3 linked regions of the Callithrix jacchus genome follow. Each later gene encodes a partner of the first gene's protein in a complex. Links are inferred from orthologs where the notes say so. Each region holds a gene or a part of one and is shown in the gene's direction. Other genes may lie near its edges.

What was found.
Region 2: the proteins of CNNM3 (region 1) and PTP4A2 are in contact, whole or in part, in a crystal structure (PDB 5K25), measured with the Homo sapiens proteins. The link is inferred for Callithrix jacchus from reciprocal best matches to the Homo sapiens genes CNNM3 and PTP4A2. Residues at the interface, in NP_060093.3 of Homo sapiens: Leu390, His391, Phe392, Val393, Phe394, Asp396, Thr397, Glu405, Ala414, Gln417, Val419, Glu424, Gly425, Asp426, Pro427, Phe428, Tyr429; in NP_001356788.1 of Homo sapiens: Met1, Asn2, Arg3, Pro4, Asp69, Gly70, Cys101, Ala103, Leu105, Gly106, Arg107, Arg134, Arg135, Gly136, Ala137, Phe138, Asn139, Lys141, Gln142.
Region 3: the proteins of CNNM3 (region 1) and PTP4A3 are in contact, whole or in part, in a crystal structure (PDB 5TSR), measured with the Homo sapiens proteins. The link is inferred for Callithrix jacchus from reciprocal best matches to the Homo sapiens genes CNNM3 and PTP4A3. Residues at the interface, in NP_060093.3 of Homo sapiens: Ser357, Asn358, Phe394, Asp396, Lys418, Val419, Asn421, Glu424, Gly425, Asp426, Pro427, Phe428, Tyr429; in NP_001425170.1 of Homo sapiens: Asn5, Pro7, Asp72, Gly73, Ala74, Val105, Ala106, Leu108, Gly109, Arg110, Arg137, Arg138, Gly139, Ala140, Ile141, Asn142, Lys144, Gln145.

The regions. Positions count from the first base shown.
Region 1 is NC_133515.1:6,766,421-6,771,106, forward strand, and holds part of CNNM3 (metal transporter CNNM3), read left to right. Parts: intron 1-1,262; coding exon 1,263-1,412; intron 1,413-2,167; coding exon 2,168-2,337; intron 2,338-2,531; coding exon 2,532-2,628; intron 2,629-2,992; coding exon 2,993-3,123; intron 3,124-3,416; coding exon 3,417-3,555; intron 3,556-3,692; coding exon of another isoform or gene 3,693-3,736; exon of another isoform or gene 3,737-3,874; intron 3,875-4,686. UniProt on the Homo sapiens protein: Probable metal transporter.
Region 2 is NC_133508.1:68,517,068-68,521,172, reverse strand, and holds part of PTP4A2 (protein tyrosine phosphatase type IVA 2), read left to right. Parts: intron 1-454; coding exon 455-585; intron 586-2,328; coding exon 2,329-2,403; intron 2,404-3,690; coding exon 3,691-3,799; 3' UTR 3,800-4,105.
Region 3 is NC_133517.1:56,096,329-56,101,014, reverse strand, and holds part of PTP4A3 (protein tyrosine phosphatase type IVA 3), read left to right. Parts: intron 1-272; exon of another isoform or gene 273-383; intron 384-1,875; exon of another isoform or gene 1,876-2,093; intron 2,094-3,277; 5' UTR 3,278-4,104; coding exon 4,105-4,209; intron 4,210-4,686. UniProt on the Homo sapiens protein: Protein tyrosine phosphatase which stimulates progression from G1 into S phase during mitosis. Enhances cell proliferation, cell motility and invasive activity, and promotes cancer metastasis.

The DNA.
Region 1 (4,686 bases):
TCCCGAGGTGTATGTTGTGTCAGAGGCCAGTGGGCCCCTGTGCTGCTGGAACCCAGCGAGATCCACAGCCAGGCCCCCTTCTCAGCCCTTCATGGGTGCTGGCAGGGAGCCCCCTTGTAGGAGAACACGGAGGTCCTCAAGATGTGCTCATGCCTGCACCTCCACACAAGCATGGTAGCCTGTGCCAGCGGTGGCCTTGCAATCATAGAGCTCGCTTGGGACTCCATTAGCTGCCATCCTGTTTCCTCCATTACTGAGAGGGCCCTGCCCTTCATGGCTCTTCCCAGTCTTCTGTCTCCCTAAGTGCTTTTGTTTTTGCAGGTTCTTTTCTACATTACAGAAATGTCCCCTGAAAGAACCCATTCTTTACCATAAAGAAAGTCTTCTCAAAGCAGCTGATCCCAGGGCCCTTGATTGCATGGTAGAAGTGTCTGCCTGTTAGGCTGGTGGTTGAGGTCTGCAGGGCAGCACAGAGCCTGTGCTTCATGGCTGGGCTGCCTGCCCCACACGCTTTCAAAAGTATCGCTTTACTCATGCATCAGTTTTCAATCACAACATCTTTAGTCTTGTTCATGAGACTACCATAGGCATGGGGTCTCCAGGTTAATTGCAGCCCTTGTGTACTGGTAATCCTTGAATACACACTTTTAGTGAGAAGTAGCGCTCAGTGGCCAAGGACACCTGTTTATTTATTTATTTATTTATTTCTTGAGACGGTCTTGCCCTGTCACGCAGGCTGGAGTGCAGTGGCGCAGTCATGGCTCACTGCAGCCTCAACTTCCTAGGCTCAAGGGATCCTCCCACCTTAGCCTCCAGAGTAGCTGGGAATACAGGCGCATGCCGCCACACCTGGCTAATTATTTTATTTTTTGTAAAGATGGTTTCTCTATGTTACCCAGGCTGATCCTGAACTTCTGGCCTTAAGTGACCCTCCCACCTCAGCCTCCTAAAGTGCTGGGATTACAGGTGTGAACCACTACATTTGGCCTAAATTTAAAAAAATTTTGGTCCACATCCAGTGACCTATCGGGGAGTCCTGTTATTTTATAAAAGCTGCTCTGTTACATCAGCATTCTCTTCAGCCAGCTCCAAGGCAAGGAGCCGTCCATGTGGTTGGGGTGGCAGCAGGCCCCATGGAGGGAATGGTGCTGAGGACATGTCCCTGCTGGCCTCAGGAGGAAGAAGAGGACGACACCACTCCTTGGTGTGGTCGTGATTGACAGGTGGCTGATGCCTGAGTGTGCCCTCTTTTTCCACCTTAGGAGACACCGTGGTAAGGAGGAAGCCTGCTTCTCTGATGGCCCCTCTCAAGCGGAAGGAGGAGTTCTCCTTGTTCAAGGTGTCTGATGATGAATATAAAGTAAAAATCTCACCTCAGCTGCTCTTGGCCACCCAGCGCTTCCTGTCCCGAGGTGAGGCGGGATGGTGGTCCATGCCCCCTGCTCTCCTCACTGTCCTATGGGTCAGGAGGCTGCTCGGGGCCGACACTAACTCTACTCCCCATTCCTCGAAAGCAGGCACATCTTGAGGACCTCCGTGTTCTCTGCAGCCATGCCAGCATCTTGAGTCTTGGGAGAGGCAGCTCCTCTCTGCCAGACCGCCAAGAACAGGGCCAGGGCAGTGCCACACCTGGTGTGCCACGGCCAGGCGGCCTCAGCTCTCAGCTGGGTGGATGTGGGGTGCCCTGTGCAGTGTTTTTTTTGTTTTTTTTTTTTTTAAAGACAGGTTCTTGCTTTGTCACCCAAGCTAGAGTGCAGTGGTGTAATCCGGTTCACTGCAACCTCCACCTTCCAAGTTCAAGTGATTGTCCTGCCCCAGCCTCCCAAGTAGCTGGGAATACAGGCGTGCATCACCACGCCTGGCTAATTTTTGTATTTTTACTAGAGATGGGGTTTCGTCATGTTGGCCAGGCTGGTCTTGAACTCCTGACTCCAGGTGATCTGCCTGCCTTGGCCTCCCAAAGCGCTGGGATAACAGACATGAGCCACCATGCCCAGCCCCTGTCTAGTTCTCTTGTGTTGAGATTGGGGGTGGGGGACAGCTGCTCATGGGCTATCCAGGAGAGCCCCGGTGGGCACAGTAACTTGAAATTGCCTAAAGTGTTGGGTGTGGTTCCATGGGCCACTAGGCACTGGTGGACACCATCCCTTTTTTCCACCACGGGCAGAAGTGGATGTATTCAGCCCACTGCGCATCTCTGAGAAGGTCTTGCTGCACCTGCTGAAGCATCCCAGCGTCAACCAGGAAGTGAGGTTTGACGACAGCAACCGCTTGGCCACACACCACTACCTGTACCAGCGTAGCCAACCGGTGGATTACTTCATTCTTATCCTACAGGTAGCTGTGGGTACCAGGCCTGGAGCCTCCTGCTTCCTCAGGCCAGGGAAATGTCTGGGAGAAGAGGGTAGTAGGGGCATGAAGGTACCTCCCTACCCCGAAACAGTTGAGTTTGTGGGTTTCTCTCTGCGCTGTCTTCTGATGGGAAGGGCCATCTGGCCACATCTGTTTCTCTCCCTGCTGTTTTCTCCCAGGGCAGGGTTGAAGTGGAGATCGGGAAAGAGGGCCTGAAGTTTGAGAATGGGGCCTTCACGTACTATGGAGTGTCGGCCCTGACCGTGCCATCCTCGGGTAAGCCTCGGCCCCTGCTGGCGCAGAGGGCTAGGATCGAGGCTGCGGAGTCTGTCCCTGCTTGTTGTCACTTCGGCTCTCAATGCCCCTCCTCGCCTCCCCTTCCACCTGAGCCCACCACCCCATAAGGTGGGCTTCCGGGAGGGAGGGCAGCATTCTTCATCACTCGTCTTTGTGGCTCACTCCACCCCTGCGAAACCTCTCCCAGCTGTGTTCATCATCCTCTCTCGGCTTCCTAACACATTGCCTCTCCAGGGTGATTGGTGGGGTTGGTCTTCAAAACTGTGCAGTTGTTCCCCCCCAGGGGAGGGGGCTCCCAGCTGCCAGCACTGGCTTCTGCCATCACTGATTGTTCCTTTGATAGTTCACCAGTCCCCGGTGTCCTCGCTCCAGCCCATCCGCCATGACCTGCAGCCTGAGCCAGACGGCATGCGTTCATCTACATATTGTCCCGACTACACCGTCAGGGCGCTCTCTGACCTGCAGCTCATCAAGGTGACTGCCTGGGCTGCTCATGGGTGCTGACTTTAGCTGACTTTGTGTCACTGGGGGCTACCAGCTTGTCTGAGACTGCCCAGAGCAAGGTCCTGTGCTCATCCTGAGGGACACAGACCTTTGCACCCAGTTTCCATGCAAGGTCTTAAAAACACTTGACTCAGTTGCTCTTCTCCCCTTAACTAGCTTAAAGTTGTTCCTCTGTCCTCTTCTGGCATGGTGTGGACTCTCCTGTCTACCTTCTGTGTCTCACTTCACCAGTTGGGTCTGCTAGTAATATTTTCATCCTCTAGGTTACGCGGCTGCAGTACCTCAATGCACTCCTGGCTACCCGAGCCCAGAACCTGCCACAATCCCCCGAGAACACTGACCTGCAGGTCATCCCAGGCAGCCAGACCAGGCTCCTCGGTGAGAAGACAGCCATAGCGGCAGGTGAGTGCTGAGTGGTATGCCGTGCACTGTGTCTAGACCCAGGGGTTGTGAACTTGCACACACAGACTTGCACTCTCACCGTCCCACCCTGCCCTCCATCTTTTTTCCCATCCTTTTCCCTTCTTGTTTTTTTTTAGATGGAGTCTTGCTCTGTTACCCAGGCTGGAGTGCACTGGTGTGATCTTGGCTCACTGCGATCTCTGCCTCCTTTGTTTAAGCATTTCTCCTGTCTCAGCCTCTTGAAGTAGCTAGGATTACAGGCGCCTGCCACCATACCCAACTATTATTTTTTTGAGACGGAGTCACGCTAATTTTTTTGTATTTTTAGTAGAGATGACATTTCTCTGTGTTGGCCAGGGCTGGCCTCAAACTCCAGACCTCAGGTGATCTGCCTGCCTCGGCCTCCCGAAATGCTGGGATTCCAGGCGTGAGCCACTGTACCTGGCCCCCTTCTTGCTATTTTTTTTTTTAATTCTTCATTACTCAATTTGAACTTCTTGCTGTATTTAACAGCTTGGATGACACCAAGCTATAAACTAACTGGTGTTCAGACTATAGTAAGTCAGTATTTTCTCTCAAGGTCCTCTTAGAATGGATTGACTTAACCAGAGAATTGCTGGGAAGTGGGAGTAAGTTTCAGTTCAGACGCTTTTGGCCATTTAAGTTTAGGTCACTTGGTAAGTGAAGATTGGAGTCAGCAGTGGGCCTAGCTCTGAGGGTGGGTGGCTGGTGGACATCATCCTAGACATTAGAAGGGCATTTGTGAGGAGTTTGGTCAGTTTATGCTGATGTTTAAATAAACAAGACCCATCCGGGGCTTCACTGTGAGCGGGAAGATTGTATTGGAAGAAATTTTGCAGATGGAACTAGAGGTGGTGGGATATCAAACCCCATACCCCTCAGTGCCAGGAGGGAGGTGAAAAGAGTCTCAAGTGTACACGGCTGTGAGTAGGAGTGGTGAAGGGTCAGGCTTTCTTGTTCTTGTTTTTCAAGAAGATACTTTTATTCTGACTGAGTTTCTAAGGTTGGGGTTAGAGATATGCCTGAACTTGGGATTCCTGGAGGAGCCGGTGGGGCTTCTGGAGAGGCTGTGGAGGGAGCTGCAGGCTTGCTTCCTCGCACCCCCACCTG
Region 2 (4,105 bases), on another chromosome or scaffold:
CTTCAATTATCTGTGGAGACCAATGAGACACCAGTTGGTACGTTTTGCCAGAGTGGACTTTAAAATCCTGTTGACATGTGCTATGTCCTCTCTTACTTTGTCTTGGCTTTAATTACAGTTTTGTCTATTATGTCTAATTACTACTATATTTGGATATAATATTTGGGAGAACACTAGCTCTTATGACTCTGATAAAGAGATTTATGTAAGTTTTGGTAAATTTAGATGTGTGTGACACTGACTATACTTCATTGAGAAGGCTAATTTATTTGGCAGGCTTTAATTTCAGTCCTGGATCATTTTACAGCCATGATCAGAATTGGGTTAAAAATAGGTGTGGATAGTATGCTTATTTCAGTTAGGCCTGCCATATGTACTGTATGCAGCTGTTCTGCATTATTATGTTAATCTTGGAGAAAATATCAATTTAATGTAAAAAGTGATTTCCTTCTAGGATTGGCCATTTGATGATGGAGCTCCACCCCCTAATCAGATAGTAGATGATTGGTTAAACCTGTTAAAAACCAAATTCCGTGAAGAGCCAGGTTGCTGTGTTGCAGTGCATTGTGTTGCGGGATTGGGAAGGTAAACTCTTACCCTTATTACCCTTTTTGTCTGTGAATTTATTAACATGCCTAAGTTAGTTGAAAGTTTCACTTTGGTAGACATTTTCATATATTATACTAAATAACATTAAATTACCTGAAAGGCAAGGAAATGAGAGAAAAACAAGTGTAATGATTTTTGAAAACAGTCTTGTCGTTTCATCTGGTTGTCTGATTCTGATGCCAGCCTGGATTTAGCCTGTGAGTGTTTTATTTGTCTCCCTATTTCAAGTAATCAAAAGTTCAGGTCACTGAAATAGGCAACAAAATTAAAGTAATTTTAGAGTTGGATGAGTCTATACATGGTTAATTTTGGATTGAGATGAATGGGAAGTTAATAGGTAGAGAGCAGATATCTGAACTTTAAACTCTTGAAAGGAGATGTATGGACAAGAATTGACTTTGATCTTAAAACCCTTTTCCCTGAGCATTCCTTGAAATGGTGTTGCAACACTATCATCAACAGCAGATTAAATGCCAATTTAGGATGCACATTTTGATTCAGAATATTGGTGTAGGCTGCCATTGCCTCAAGGTGGTGGTGATTCAGGCTGTTCTATGCTGGCCTTTTGTTTGCTATTTTCCTTTTTTGTAGTGTAATACTGTTTGTTTATAAGGTTAGAAGTTTTAGTCCTTAACCTGAAGGTTGAAGATAATGTTGTAACTTGGCAAATTTATAACTATCCTAGTTTTAGGTAGTCCAAAATTGGGGCCCTGTAATGGGCTTTATAAAAACATATTTCCTCTGTTAAATTTTTTAAAAAAGAGAACTTTTCTTAGTCATTAGTTCTTGAAAAAGTCTAGCAACTTTTTAGCATTTAATAAGGAAATATTAAAACCAGTTGGTAATGAAAATTCTGACACTGGAGATACATAATATGTTTGGCCATTTATTTTACTGTGATAATGGCTAAAGACCAATGAAGAATTTTTGATAATATATAGTGATGAGAAATTTAATATATAATATGATATTTTAAAGAGTAAAGATCTCTTAAGGTTTAGAATTTAGTGCTTTACTAAAAGTAGGTATCAGGCTGGACTCAGTGGCTCACACCTGTAATCCCAGCACTTTGGGAGGTAGAGGTGGGCAGATTACTTGAGCCCAGGATTTCTTTTTTTTCTTTTTTTGAGACGGAGTTTCACTCTTGTTACCCAGGCTGGAGTGCAATGGCGCGATCTCGGCTCACCGCAACCTCCGCCTCCTGGGTTCAGGCAATTCTCCTGAGTAGCTGGGATTACAGGCACGCGCCACCATGCCCAGCTAATTTTTTGTATCTTTAGAAGAGACGGGGTTTCACCATGTTGACCTGGATGGTCTCGATCTCTTGACCTCGTGATCCACCTGCCTCGGCCTCCCAAAGTGCTGGGATTACAGGCTTGAGCTACCGTGCTCAGCCGAGCCCAGGATTTCAAGAGCAGACTTGGTAACGTGGAGAAACCCCATCTCTACTAAAAATAAAAAAAATAGCTGGTCATGGTGGCAGGCCCCTGTAGTACCAGCTCCTTGATAGAGTGAGACCCTGTCTCCTCCACACACACACAAAAATCATAGAATTTATAATGATTAGTTATATTTACTGTATTAGGTAGGTATTGGCTACTTTAGCATAGAAGAAAAAAGAAAGCTTATGGTTTGCTTTGGTAATATGAAGTTATGGATCTTTAAAAATTCTTTCACTCCAAGACTTATGGATATTTACATACAGGTTTCTTTCTGCAGGGCACCTGTGCTGGTTGCACTTGCTTTGATTGAATGTGGAATGAAGTACGAAGATGCAGTTCAGTTTATAAGACAGTGAGTATGAAGTTTTGTGTTCAGAAATACAGAAAGGAAGATCATGAATGAGGAAGGAATTATGGAAGTGGGTATTCATTTGTAGTGTGGGATAATTTACTTTCTTTGGCTTAAAGTGTTATTTGAAGATGTAAAAACTTTAGAGCAAGTGATAGAGACTCAGTACAGCTGGCTTCCAGATTTAAAAGACTTTCTAATTTGGGTGGCAAATTTGGACATTATAGAATATGTCCAGTATATTGTTTGAATATCTAGGAATCTCGAAAATGCCCCTTTTAATAGATTCCAAATACCTTCCAAATGCAGTTCTCTATTAGGAGGAGGCAAGAAGAATGTATAGAGGAGCAGTTAATCACCTGGGTCTCTTAAGTGATCTGTTCAGGCACAAAATCAGGATGGTAGTGCCCAGACAGGATCTTGGCATCTGGAATAATGAGTCTTCCATTTTATTATCCAGAATTATTTGACAATTTTTGTCTTGCCCTTTCCCTTTGAACCTTTCATTTAAAAAATGAAAACCAAAGAAGAGACTATTTGTGACAGAAAGCATGAAATAATATATGGTAGCGGCTTTAGGAAGGTAACACATTTCAAGGAATGTCATCAGTGTATGTCTTGAGCCTGCTTCTTTATCTTATTATTTTTTAGCATCCTAAATATTTGCTACCAACTCTAATCTGAAGAATATATCAATCTAATTGGGAAGAATATAGTCAGATATTTCTGGATAAACTATTCTGATCTTTATTAAATGGTTAATAGGCCATAATGATGGTCAGCAAGGAAAATTTTTCTTTTCCTTCTTCTAGGAGGACTCAAAGTTCATGTTGCAACTTAGCTCTTAAGAAGTGTTGGCCAGGCGCGGTGGCTCATGCCTGTAATCCCAGCACTTTGGGAGGCTGAGGCGGGTGGATCATGAGGTCAAGAGATCGAGACCATCCTGGTCAACATGTGAAACCCCGTCTCTACTAAAAATACAAAAAATTAGCTGGGCATGGTGGCGCATTCCTGTAATCCCAGCTGCTCAGGGGGCTGAGGCAGGAGAATTGCCTGAACCCAGGAGGCAGAGGTTGTAGTGTGCTGAGATCAAGCCATTCATTACACTCCAGCCTGCGTAACAAGAGCGAAACTCCGTCTCAAAAAAAAAAAAGAAGTGTTATAGTGTGAGAAATGTGCTGGTTTTCAGCTGTGTGGAATTAGAAAGGCCTTAGGACATAAATAATGCATTTCAGTGAATCAGACAGCTCTTTTTTTACCTGATAAAGTTTGCTATTCTTGTATTTTCAGAAAAAGAAGGGGAGCATTCAATTCTAAACAGCTGCTTTACTTGGAGAAATACCGACCTAAGATGCGATTACGCTTCAGAGATACCAATGGGCATTGCTGTGTTCAGTAGAAAGAAATATAAAAGAAGGTTGACTTGATTGTGGCATTTGGAGGGAACTCTTGGTACCTGGAAATGTGAATCTGGAATCTTACCTGTGTCATCAAAGTAGTGATGGATTCAGTACTCCTCAACCACTCTCCTAATGATTGGAACAAAAGCAAACAAAAAAGAAATCTCTCTATAAAATGAATAAAATGTTTAAGAAAGAGAAAGAGAAAAGGAATTAATTCAGTGAAGGATGATTTTGCTCCTAGTTTTGGAATTTGAATTTCTGCCAGGATTGAATTATTTTGAAATCTCCTGTCTTTTTAAACT
Region 3 (4,686 bases), on another chromosome or scaffold:
GGAGAGCCCCGAGGTTCTAGGGAGTACGGACACCGGGAGAGGCCCAGCGGGAGGACGGAGGGGTCCGGGCCCTTGCCACACCCCACGCTTCCCCTTCCTGGCTGGGCTTCCTCTTCCTTGCGCTTGCCCTGTGCGGCCCCTTTGTTTCCCGGGCGGGGCGCGGCTATATTTAGGCGGCAGGTGTGGGAGCCCCTGGCAGCCAGGTCGCCCGCCGGTCACGCCCCCCACGTGATGCCTGGGCGCTATAAATAGCTGCAGGCGGCAGCGGCAGCAGTGCCTGGAGTCAGCTCCACTGTGGAGGGGCGGCGCCCTGCCCCCGGCCCAGCGCCACGGGCACCCCTCAGCCAGGCGCACATGGAAACGGCGGGATGCCTGCAGTGTGGGTGAGCCTAGTGGGTGGGGACGCTGCCTTCCGGGCCCCCAGCCCCGCCGGGGAGGAGGTGGTGCCCCCCAGAGGGCTGGGCGGGAGCCCTGCTGGTGCCGAGGGAGGGGGCTGTGCCCCTTACCAGGACGTCATTGGCGCCTAGTCCCTCGGAACTCCGCAGAGCACCCACCTCAGCCCTACCTACGGTCCAGCCTTGCTTCTCCTGGGACCCACTGAGCCGCGGGCCTCCAGCCTCTTCCCCAGTATCCCAGGGGGGCCCTCTCTGAAGGGCGCTGGATTCACACTGGATTCAAACTTCTTAACCGGCTTTGCCATCGGGAAGGAGGGTGGTAGCCTCCCTGAACCTCAGTTTCCTTTTCTGTACGGGGATCCGTGTTGCTCCTGCCTCCTAGCCTGGAGCCAGAGAGAACCCACTTAACTGGACGCTTGGTCTGGCCTGGGCCCAGAGAATTGTCCTCCCCTCTCCCTGGCCTCTCTCCTCATCTGGCAAACAGGGACAGGGATGGACTCTCGCTTAAAGGGTCTTGAGAAGATACTGGTTTGAAAGTAGCTGAAGGCCCTGGGCCTGCGGGTCCGAGGAGACTGAGCCAGATCTTGGGAAGGGGCTGCAGGGCTTGGTGGCAGGAGGGAAGGAGGGGCTGAGGCTGCCTGTGGGCCCTGTGCTGTGGCCTCGGGCTGGGCAGAGACTTATAACATATGGAGGCCGGGGCAGCCTGTCCCCATTTCACTGAGTGCCCATCGCTGGGGATCCTTCATCCTTGTTCTCTGGGCCCTCCCCGGTGCTCAGGGGGCATGTGGTCAGGGAAGGGTGTCCTCTCTGGGGAGTAGCCACTGGGCAGGGCAGAGTCCCGCAGTCATGCTGGGGGCTCCCTGCTTTACTCTCAGCTGGGCAGGGGTGGGGCCCCAGGCTGCGGAGCCAAGTGGGGTGTGTGGCAAGACCCCAGCCCAGTCCAACCTCTCCCTGGAGCCCTGATACCATTCTAGCTGGGAGGATGCATGGCATCCTCTGGCCTCAGGTGGGTGGTCGTGTGGGGTGGTTCAGAGCCATCTCCCTGCCCAGCAACCTGCAGCCCTGAGGACCTGTCTATTGCCACTGGGCAGTGGGGCCACTGGGCGGCGGTGCCAGGCCATGTGCTGTTCCTGTGGGGTCTGCTGGGGTCCCTGGCAGCCTTGGGCATGAGAGCTGGGCCGGCTCCTCAGGGGGCGACCCCAGGAACGTGGTTTCTCGGGCAGTTTTCCTCTTCTCTTTCTGTAAACATGAGCTCGCCCCGGCGCGCACGCACACGGGGACATCCTGCTGCCCCAGGAGGGACCTGGGTGTTTGTGTGCTGCTCGTGCTTGGTGGCTTCCCTCACCTGCACTCAGAGCCTGTGCTGGCTCCAGCTGGGCTGGGTGGGGGCTGGCAGGACCAGGGACGGGATCCTTGTCTCCACCTTTACCTCCTTCTGGGGGTCCCATGCCACTGCCTATTTTAACCTTCCCTGAACCAGGCAACGGAAGAACATGAGATGTGGCGCCTGCTCTGAGCCCGCAGCACTGGCTACCGCGCAGAGTGTGGAGGGCAGGCAAGGCGGAGCCCACCGTCCCCGCCAGCCACCCTCCGAGTCCGGGGGCCCAGGCCTTGTGCCCTCCCTGCACCTGGGCTGAGGCTCCAGTGACCTGGCCTGCCTGGTGGGCAGCCGGGAAGGGGTGCTGGGCAGGGGCACAGGTGAGAGGGGTGGGCTGGGGGATGGAGGGCTCTGCCGGGTGAGGGGCCTGAAGTGCCTTTCCTGAGTGGCAGGCAGTAGTGACAGGGCTGGGCTTGGGTTGAGTCCAGGGGGCTGGAGGGTCTGCTAACAGCTGGGTCACCGCTGGAGGGATCTTTTGTGGCCCATCATTGTGCTAATGGGGTAACAAAGAGGCCAGCGCCTCGCACAAGGTGTCCGAGCTCTTCCGGAGAGAGGGGAGGGGGCTGTGCGCTCCTGGGACTCCCTTGCCTGGGAGCTTTGGGGCCATGAGACCCAGAGACGGGGAGAGGCAGGTGTGGAGTTACTTTGAGCCGCCCCTGGCGCCCCTGCAGCCTCCCTCTTAGGGCTGTTCACCGTGTGAACCCGCTCCTGGCTACCTGTGGTGTCGCCACCCTGGCATGTGTGCCTGACGGCTGGCCTGTTTGGTGTTGTCTGTCCCCGCCTCCCTGAGCTCCTGGCCTGTTTATCCCCTGAGTCTGGCTGAGCCCTGTGTGAGCGGTGGAGACACAGGGGCTGGGGGACACTGGCAGGCAGGGGGCTGCTGACAGGAAGGAGAATTTCTGCAGAAAGCAACGGGCGATTAAGTTGGCCCTTGGCCACCTGTGGGCTCAGGCCCCTCACCTCCTTGTGCTGGCAGCACTGACTGAGTGCCTGGGCCCCATTCCCTGAGGATGGGCCACCCAGAGAGACCTGGGCTCAGATGTTCGCAGTGGCCAAGAATCAGAAGAGGAGAGGGCAGCTGTCCTGGGTGGGTTTTCCGTAGATCAGAGCGGGCTGGCAGGGGCCAGGCTCAGGCTTCTTAGGGGAGCTTGGTCTCTGTCACCCTAGAGGGACCTGTCCTCTGTGTGCTGGGGTTTAGCATGTCCTGGGGGTGTGTGTGTATCTGAAATCCCTGTCCCCTGTGTCCTCCGTTATGCCCTGCTGGCTGTATGGTAGCTGCCCTATTGCCTCCAGGCCTGGGTCAGTCCTGGTAGGAGCCGTTCTTCCTTGTGCTCCCATGTAGGGAAACTGAGGCCTAAGAGGGTCACTCAGCATGGTCAGGAGGAGGCCCCAGGAGAAGTGTCGCCTCTGACTGTGGGCTCAGGGCAGGCTTGAACCCCTCATGGGAGGGTGGGGTGACCCCTTGTGATCCCTTTCTGTTAATTTTCTTCATCTTTTCCCCCAGATGCTGTGTGCTGTGGACCCGCCTGGGATTCATGGAGTGGGCTGCGGGGTCCAGCCCTGAGCACTGCTGCACCCGAGGTCCCAGAGCCTGCTGCTGAGGGTCCCCGTGCTGCTGGCTGTCACCATTGCCCTCGACTGCCGATGGCCTCTGCTGTCCAGCCTGGGGCCAGCTCTACTGCCTGAGCCCCCTGTCCCCCTCCAGGACTCACCATACCCCGATGGGGTAACATGACAGAGGCCCTGCACATCAGAGGCCACTGTCCCCGCGGCCGCTGCCGGTGACCCCTGGCCCAAGGGTGCTGGAGTTGGCTCAGTTCAAGTTCATTCTTACTCTGGCTGTTGTGGGCTTGGGGACCACCTCTGAGTGAAGGAGGCTGTCTGCCCATCCACCGATGTGGAGAGGGCGCCCCCAGCGTGGGGTCCAGCTCTGGACACTGCTTGGCGGCTGGATTTCCTTTGGGTTTTTAAGTTTTCTTTGCTGAGCTTTTCTGGTAGTTCTTTTTATTTTTTGCCCCTTTATGACTATCCCTCTCTGAGAGACAGGAGTTTGGAGTTGCCTACAGTACTTTGGGGGGCTGTTTTGTTCCTTTGCTTTTTTAAGAGTTGGATTTTCTTTTTTAATTATCCAAACTCTGGGCAGCTTCCTCCCCCACGCCCAAGTTATTTGCACAATATTTGTGCGGGGTGTGGGGGTGGGTTTTTAAAAAGATCTCTTTCTCTTGGACAAGCACAGGGATCTCGTTCTCCTCATTTTTGGGGGGTGCGTGGGGACTTCTCAGGTCTGTGTCCCCAGCCTTCCCTGCAGCCCCTCTCTGCCCTGGAGGCGCCATGGCTCGGATGAACCGCCCGGCCCCAGTGGAGGTGAGCTACAAACACATGCGCTTCCTCATCACCCACAACCCCACCAACGCCAGCCTCGGCACCTTCATTGAGGTGAGTGCAGATGGCGGCGGGGTGGGCAGGTCCAGCCAAGGTGGCAGCGAAGCCCAGCTGAGCTGTGCTCAGGCCTCTCAAGAGGGGTCCACTGGCCTGGCTGGCTAGACAGGGCTCACGGCCTTGGAGCAGGGCTCAGTGCCCCGTTACAGGGTCCTGGAGGAGGGACGTGGGGATGCCTTGGGACCTCGGGGGTGAGGGTGTTGGGGGATCAACTGGGTCCCTAGGGGGCCTGCAGGGGGCTGGCGTGTGACAGGAGGGACTCCACGCCACGTGGATAGAGGCAAGTGGTGAAGCCGGGGGTACACGGGCCAGGCTCTGCACGCTCAGCTGTGGCCTGGGCTGGGGCCCTCCTGAGCCCTTTGCTTTCCTTTTGGCATCTGTGCCTAGGCTGAGCGGGCAGGAGGTGCCCTGGTGTGAGAAGTGGCTGCTTATGGGGAAGCAGGTGGATGGGGACAGGTGGGCAGGTCGGCTCCA